Linked DNA regions of Caenorhabditis elegans. The protein of the gene in region 1 interacts with the protein of each later gene in a pairwise test. Each region holds a gene or a part of one and is shown in the gene's direction. Other genes may lie near its edges.

Region 1 (3,904 bases):
GTTTTGTCGCTGAACCATAATTTTTTTTTCGAAAAATTTGCACCAAATGTTATTAAAAGTGCTGCCCAATTATTGAAAATCGATAGCAATGTCAAACTAGTTATAGGAAATTCCATCAAATGACGAAGATGACGAAAAGGGACCATTGACACCTCGACCTGAAAGCGAAAAGAAAGAAGAAGGATGGGTTAACTGGGATGAATAATTCAAATGCTCTTTTTTCACTAAATTCACTTCTTTTTCGATATTCTACATGTTCCTGTCAATAATTCCACTGTCACTCCTATCTCTTTAAAGCTTCTAGAATCAAATGGCTAGCATCATTCCCCCATTTCTTTATTTTATGGAATTCTTTTTTATATGTATATACAAAGTTAGAAAGGTCGGTTTTCCTTCTTCGAATAATCTTATCTCTCCTCTGTTGGTTTGTAAATAAAAATTGCATTTTTATTTTATTTTCCACATTTTTGATTCGCTATTTGTGGTTTTCCATTCCACTAATGTATCTGCAATTAAAATCAAAGCTTGAAAATGTTTTATCATATTTTTTCAGAAAGATGAGCCAAGGGTATGATAATTACGATGATATGTACGATCAAAACGGTGCATCACCGGCGCCGAGTCAAAACGAAAAACCCGGGAAAAGTGGGCCTGGTTTTGTTGGAATCAAGTTTTGCCCAGAATGGTAATTAGTTTTATATTATTTAGGAAATTATTTCCGGCAATTTCACAAAGTGGCCGATTGCGCCTTGTTGTTTCAACATTTTTCATTTAAAATTAGTGTGAAAATATTGAAATTAAATTGATTTAACTGGAAATATCATTTTCAGCTGGAACATTATCGAGCTTTGTTTTTTTTTTTGAAAATCGGTAACTTGCATGCCATTTTTAAGCACTTTCTGAAGTTTTTCAGCCGAAAATAATGTTATTTTCAGTAAAATCAACTGAATTACTATATTTTGATACTAATTTTAAACTAAAAATGTTGGAACAAAATGGCGCAATATGCCATTTTGTAGAATTGCCGAAAGAAAATTGCACCCACCTCTGGCTCAAAGCTAATAATAAAGACAAAATGATGAAAATTTGAAAAAAAACATCAAAATTGTTAAACTTCAGCAATAATATGCTGTACCCACGAGAGGATAAGGAATCACGAGTTTTGATGTATTCCTGCCGGAACTGTGAGCATCGTGAAGTCGCCGCTAACCCGTGTATCTATGTGAATAAGCTCGTTCACGAAATTGAGTAAGTTCATTGTCAAATTGACTCATTTTCTAAATCAATTGGATTATTTCAGTGAGCTCACTCAAATCGTCGGAGATATTATTCACGATCCAACGCTCCCGAAGACTGAAGAACATCAATGTCCAGTCTGTGGCAAAAGTAAGGCTGTCTTCTTCCAGGCTCAAACAAAAAAGGCAGAAGAAGAGATGAGATTGTACTATGTATGTGCATCGCAAGATTGTCAGCACAGATGGACGGAATAAAACATAGTGTCCAATTGTTTTCTATTTATTTGAAACGTTTTCTTAATCGTCAATTGTTGTTTTATTCCTTATTTCTAAAATAATGTTTTTTCGGATCTCCATATGTTCCCTACCTGTTCCAATAAATTCAAATCATCATTCAATTTTTCGATTATATTTTTTCTAATTCTCGGTTTTTACCGTACTCTTTGGTTATTTTCAAAATTAAAACTTTCTAACTAGTAACCGTAATCCAAAACTTTAAAATAGATGCTGAAACAGAAAGCGCTGGTTGATGTTCTCGGACAGGTGAACACAAGCGGTGTTGATGGTTCGTGGCTTTTCAATAAGGAAGGATTGCTCCTTGCCTACGTCGGAAGCGAACAGAAAGCCGTTGCATCAAACGTCTCATCTGCACTTATAGCCAGTGTCTGGGCTGCTCTCGAGAGAAGAGGTAGATTTTTTAAAACATGCTCATAATCAGTCTATTTCAACTGGAAAATTACCAGTTCACATTCTTCAAAGTTTGAAATCAAACACCTCGATCAAGTTGTAATTACAGCCAACGATCTGAAAGAAACTATTCTCGTTCTGGAGAATGGAGTAATTGGTTGCACACTCGTCGCTCGTACAATGCTTCTGGCAGTCAAGGCCGACAAGAGTGCCGATTTGGGAATGGTCCGCGCTAAGCTTCATACACTGGCCGCCTACCTCGAGCAGCCGATTCTTTCAATTTCTCACGATTTGGGATGATCGATGTATTATCTTATATTTCTATCGGGTCTCATTCATCCCATCCAAATTCCATTTTATTTTTTTCCAATTTACTAACAATGAATAGATCATTTCACGCCATTCTTGTTTTTTTTAAGAACTTTTAAAATATAAAATACTTATTCTTTAACATGAAATTCATTTAATTGTACAAAATTGATGAAAATTGATGATCATGAAAGTGCATTGCTCAGGAGAAATTATATTCAAAAGGGAAAAAGTTCGAGTTTTTTTCTAATTTTTTAGAACTCTAATATGGCTTTAAAAAGCCCGCCGTTTGGTTGAAGGTCTCGCAACGATTTCAAAGGAGTACTGTAGTCCGTGCGACACGTCCTATTTTCTACCAATCGACACGTCGCAAAACGTCGGAACGATTTTTTCTGTAATATTATTATTTTATCCATAAAATATTCGAAATATCGATCGATATTCCCTCAAAAAACCTGTTTTCTTCTTTACTTCTCCATTTTTCCTTGATCTTCACCTCGAAGTACGCTTTTTTTACTCGTTTTCAGTGTTCTTAATTATCAATTATTTTGCTTTCCAGCAGATGCCATTCACTGAAGAAGGTCAGGTGCTCTCATTGGGCCCGAGAGGTCATGCAGATTACACAGAGACTGAATTGACGATATCACCGATTTCATGGATCGAAGAAGATGCAATTTGGACATTTTTGTACAATAAAATTCATGATGAATCAGCAAACATTGACAAAAAGAATGTTGATCCAGACAGTAATGCATTATGGGAGGATTTTCGGACGAAGACCGGCTCGGTGAGACAAGTGCGACGATTGAGATCACAGTGAGTCGTGGAGAGATGAAATTATTCACAGAGAAAAACTCTAAATTGTTTTATTCACATTAACTTTCAATTTCCAGTTATTTCAATGAGATGGTCCGAAGTTTACACTCAGCGTGCCTTTCATGCGAGACGAAGCTGAAGCTATACTTTGCTCTCGGAATCCCCGTCGAAGAAGGTTTTTTGCGTGACTTGCAGGAAGAAGGCGATGTTAAAGTTGATCAGATGAATCGAATCGAATACTTCGCTCAATATAATGGAATACTTTGTCTCCAACATAAGAGCAGAAAAAATATGGACCATAATTACTGCAGCGAAGAGGATTCGGAAATGTGGGATTTTTTAAACGAGAAAATTCATGATCCGCAGACTGGAGAAGTTATCCATCCACATGATATGCCGTGTTTATATCTATTGTGGAAAGACTACAGAAAGAAAGTATCTTCTCCGAAAAGAATAGAAACTATATACAAACAGTACGTTTTTTTTAAATATGTTCGTTTTGTATTTTCCTAATGGCTGCAAAATGCCAAAACAATTTTTAAAAGCCAATTTAATTCTCAAATTTCAGTTACTGTGAGAAAATGTATCTCAATCTGCATAAATCTGATCTGGATCCGTCGTCGAAAGCCAAAATCGCATTTTCTCTGGGAATCCCGGTTTACGACACATTGTGGAAGATGTAAGTGAATCTTCATTTTTTCCTGATCATATTTTTCACTTTAGATTGAGTGTTATCGCCGATGTTAAGCTCGACGGAAAGCGACGACTTGTGGATTATCATGAATGGGATTCTGGACTGAAGTTCTCTATCGAAAAACGGCGAGAAAAGGATGACACGTCGAACCGTAATTCACGTG
Region 2 (4,212 bases), 3.1 Mb from region 1:
AATAAAAAGAAGATTAATGAAAATTCAACATTTAGAAATAGTCTAGATTTTAAAACGAGTAAATTACGAACCAAAAGTAAAATAGACAAATTGAAGAATCCACGGAAATTTGTCCATCCAGAACTCGTCGAAAACAATGAATCTTGAGCAGTATGTACCACTTTCTCGCAAGGTCCAAAAATGAAATAGTTATTCACACAAGTTTAAAGCTTTTTTCTATACCCTCTCATTTCTGAACTTTTCCTTGACGAATTACCATTTTGTGCAAATGAGGAGCGTCTACTGGAAGCCAAAGAACCATTAGATGTTTCCGAAGGCTGACGCCGCCGTCGTCCCTGAATTTAGTTTTTAAAAAAACTTTAGAAAATAATAAAACTAACCGTTTGTTGACGCATTTGCATCAGAAATACTTAGGTAACCCTGAAATTCTTAAATGTAGAAGAATCAAGAAACTGCAAAAAAATTTCGGAAAAGAATAACAAGTCAGGCCTGTCGTGCCTCCGTCTGTTTGTTTCATATTTATCGAATCAAGATAAGAGACAACGCGTCTGGCGCCTCTTGATTAAATGTGATCTATCACTTATTTAGAACAATAGTGCACTTCACGCCAATTCTTGATCTTTACATGGAATCCGAATTCAATGTACATAATACACTGACATTAATTGAAACTATGGAAATATTCGTTCAACTTCATTAGTTGGTTTTAACATGAAAAGAAAAAACTTGTTTTGATATCTTCAATCCGATCATCGAAGGTAATCAATGATGCCAACAGATTCTTTTCGCGCGAATTGCAAAGAAATTCTCATATAATATAAAGGAAACATGCGAAAGTTCTTTATCTTGCCATCACTCTTATGAAATACATAATCTGAAGAAGGGGGTATCGACTGCATAAGCTCCCAGGCACATAAAAAAATTCGACGAAATTATAAAACAAACGGCTACAAAACAAATCAAAATGGTCTTAAAAATGGTAGGAGAGCGATAAGGAAGAACGAGAGTTGTCTACTGAACGGTACATCATGATAAATCGTTTAATGGTCGTCAACCTTGTCGGCACGTCGAAGAACCTGAAAATTAATAAATATGACTATAATTTGGTAAATTTCTCCACCTTGTAGTCCTTGAATCTGTTCTCAATTTCTGGAGTCTCGTTGAGTCCGATGTTGCATGGATCAGGAATTCTGTTCTGGTAGCGAAGATCATAGAAATGAGCTGGGAAATACTCGACGAAATGCTGACGATCGAAATGTTCAACTGGTGGAGCCTTGGCCCACTTTTCCTCCACCTGGAAAAAGAATATTAAAAATCTTTTCGAAATAAAAGTAATAACCTTCTTGGCCTCCTGAAGTCCATCAGCGACCTTGACCTCATGAAGCTTAATACGGGCGTTGTTGTAATCAACCCATTGGTCTACTTCCTTCAAATACTCGGCTGGAACCTCTCCGTATGGGATCTTTACAGATTCATACTGCTTTTGAAGAGAATCGAGAACTGCCGAATGAGCCGGGAGGGCCTTCTTCAAAGCAGCAAAGTCGATCTTGGGAAGATCGGCCGGGAGCTGGCTGACAGCGGATTGGAAAGTTCCACTGACTCCCTTCACGCGGGTGAGTTCTGCGGCGTGTTCCGGGACCAAACGCTCGGCTGAAATTAAAAGTTAAAACACTAAATTGTGGAGAAGTTATTTATTACATACGTAAAATACCGTAACTTGTGACTTAAACAACTTACCGAGCTTCGACCAGTTCACGGAAGACGTCGCTACCCTCTTAGCGGCTCCAGACATACCTATAAAAATTGTGATGTTTTAACCTTATTTAGATTAACAGGAAAACGATTTTTGAAAATAAAAAGTAAATATGCTTAATTAGCAGGAAAATTGAATCGTTCACAAACAAAGAAACATAGAATAACTATTTTGAGTTGTTTTCAATTTTTAAGTAACGGAATGAACTGAAAAATAAGCTAAAACAGCTGAAAAGCACAAAAAATAGTATTTTCTGTTCAAAAGGGTGGAGTCTATCGCCCGTGAAAACGCAAAGTGCGGCGCGGTTTTCTCGGGTTCCTCGGCCATTTTTATCGGCCCTCGGGACAAAACTCGGCCACCAAAACCGATTTCAGATTTTTACTCTTATTTTATCAATTCAAGAATTTTCCTTATGTTGCTGATTATTTTAGTGGTATCTGTAGTTAAAAAAAAAAACAAAAAAGACATTGTTTCAGTAAAATGATGAACGTCCAACAAGAGCTCGAAGAGCTTATGCTTACCTATGAGGGGGTCTGCGCAATCTTCATCACTGATCACGATGGAGGTCTCATTCTGAATATCGGTAAGTATTTTCATCAATAAAACCAATAATTAATATAAACTTTAAAAATATAACCATTTTTCAGGTCTTCCATCGACATTGGATAATTCTAGATTCAGGCAACAGCTGATTGTCAGTCACGTGACAACAATCCCTCAAATTCACAAACTCGACATGGGTTAGTTATTGACTTCTCATTTTTATTTCTACTCAGTTATGTTTTAGGAGGTCATCAAACAACCTTTGCATTGTACGAGTCCCACCAAATTGCTGTTCATTCTATTGACAAGTATTATTTCATTGTTCACGCTGGAACCAACACGAACACTGGCGCCATGCTCTCTTTGCGTGAGAAATTATTTCCCATCGGCAGTCATATGATGTCACTTTGCCCACCAATTGATGGAGATGCTCTTTTACCACCACCATCGTACCCTTCTGCAGCTGCACCTCCCCCAGATTTCGACTAATAATTATGTGGTGGCTGCTCTCATTTTCCTGTGATTCCATGATTCGATATCTTTACTCAGCTTTTCAAGTTCATGCCAATCTTAAAAAACCAATCTAACTTTTCTTGTTTTCAAATTATCATACCCAATAACCGTATTTCCTGTAAAAACCTTCCCAGTTTTCTATTGATTCTCATCAAGAATAAAATTAAATTGAAAGATCCGTGGTTACAGAACATGCCTGTTTTCTCGTTGGTTTCTGCCAAAAACTATCTATTTTATACATCTCTAACGTGAACTGACTATAGCATAGATCAATCACTCTGATCGTTTTTTTTTCACTGACCGTACTGATCAAAATCATTTTTCAATCATTTCTTTTAGATTTACTCGAATGCAATAAAGTAAGTCTTATCAAACAAAGATATGCTGAACAGAAATTGGAGCAGTTTTTTGTTTAAACAGGTAAACAATATTTTGATTGAAGTGTGTTCAATTATAATACGTTTAGGTTGCACTGTATCGAAACTTCCGTCAAAATTGGTCACGATTCAAGACGAAAGCGTAAGTCAACTATTATGGAGTGAAGTAGGACCAAAAAAGTCTTACCAAAAAACAAAAAAACAGATTTTGATTTTGGACCAAGAACTACAAATTGGAATTTGTGACCATAAAACCCAAAAAAAGTCGATTTTCGATTTATTTTGAACTTTTAGAAAAAATCATTGAAAACCATTAAAACATATTTTGCTTAAGAAGATTTGTAAAATATGAAAAAAAAGCGTAGATTTTAGTCCAAAATTCGAAAATTCAATTTTTTCAATAAAAAAAATAAAAACCAAAAATAAAACTTTTTTTTTCGCTTCAAACATGTCTAAAAAATTAAAATTTTTTAAAACAACCAAAATAAAAACCATTTTTTGCCAAAAAATAAAAAAGGGCAGTCCTATTCAAATTATTGTTTTTTAGCGTTCTGTACTCCTACTCATTCTACCGTGGAGACCGACGTTTCGGCAAGTTTGCTCTAGCTGCATCTACAGCCGGATTCACATTTCGAGATCATGGAATCAGTGATGATCGAATCGCAGAATGTGAAAACTGTGAAGAGGAGTTTGCTCATCGAAAGACACCTGGAAAAGGATGGGAGTTGCTCTACGAAGAGAAGGATATGTTAGCATTCCGTAGACGAATTGATGGTCCATATGAGATGTATGAATACAAATGTGTTGGGACATACTATGATATCAGTCCACGAACATTTCTTGACGCTCAAAATGATTTAAAATATCGAAAAGAATGGGACGACAATATTGTGACTATCGAAGTTGTCAAAGAAGAAAATGAAAATGAGCTGATCAGATGGGTATCTAAGTTTCCATATCCAATGTATCCGAGAGAATATGTTTATGTAAGACGAACATGGGTGTCAGAAGACGAAAAATATGCAG

The links.
Region 2: the proteins of lmtr-2 (region 1) and lmtr-3 interact in a two-hybrid assay, tested with the Caenorhabditis elegans proteins (one large-scale study listed by BioGRID).

What each region holds. Positions count from the first base shown.
Region 1 is NC_003283.11:8,008,942-8,012,845, reverse strand, and holds lmtr-2 (Ragulator complex protein LAMTOR2 homolog), read left to right. Parts: upstream 1-1,739; coding exon 1,740-1,923; intron 1,924-2,031; coding exon 2,032-2,222; 3' UTR 2,223-2,355; downstream 2,356-3,904. Other genes in the region: Y97E10AR.6 (BSD domain-containing protein), read left to right, coding at 107-205; DNA-directed RNA polymerase II subunit rpb-9, read left to right, coding at 501-685, 1,120-1,248, 1,301-1,490; Y97E10AR.4 (SPK domain-containing protein), read left to right, coding at 2,794-3,047, 3,125-3,520, 3,616-3,726, 3,771-3,904. UniProt on the Caenorhabditis elegans protein: Regulator of the TOR pathway, a signaling cascade that promotes cell growth in response to growth factors, energy levels, and amino acids. May activate the TOR signaling cascade in response to amino acids.
Region 2 is NC_003283.11:11,122,074-11,126,285, forward strand, and holds lmtr-3 (Late endosomal/lysosomal adaptor and MAPK and MTOR activator 5), read left to right. Parts: upstream 1-2,229; 5' UTR 2,230-2,236; coding exon 2,237-2,336; intron 2,337-2,400; coding exon 2,401-2,493; intron 2,494-2,540; coding exon 2,541-2,785; 3' UTR 2,786-2,980; downstream 2,981-4,212. Other genes in the region: mboa-2 (O-acyltransferase), read right to left, coding at 72-174, 223-335, 381-401; atp-5 (ATP synthase subunit d, mitochondrial), read right to left, coding at 1,041-1,076, 1,121-1,294, 1,340-1,650, 1,738-1,792; strt-7 (Phosphatidylcholine transfer protein), read left to right, coding at 3,191-3,229, 3,276-3,328, 3,734-4,212.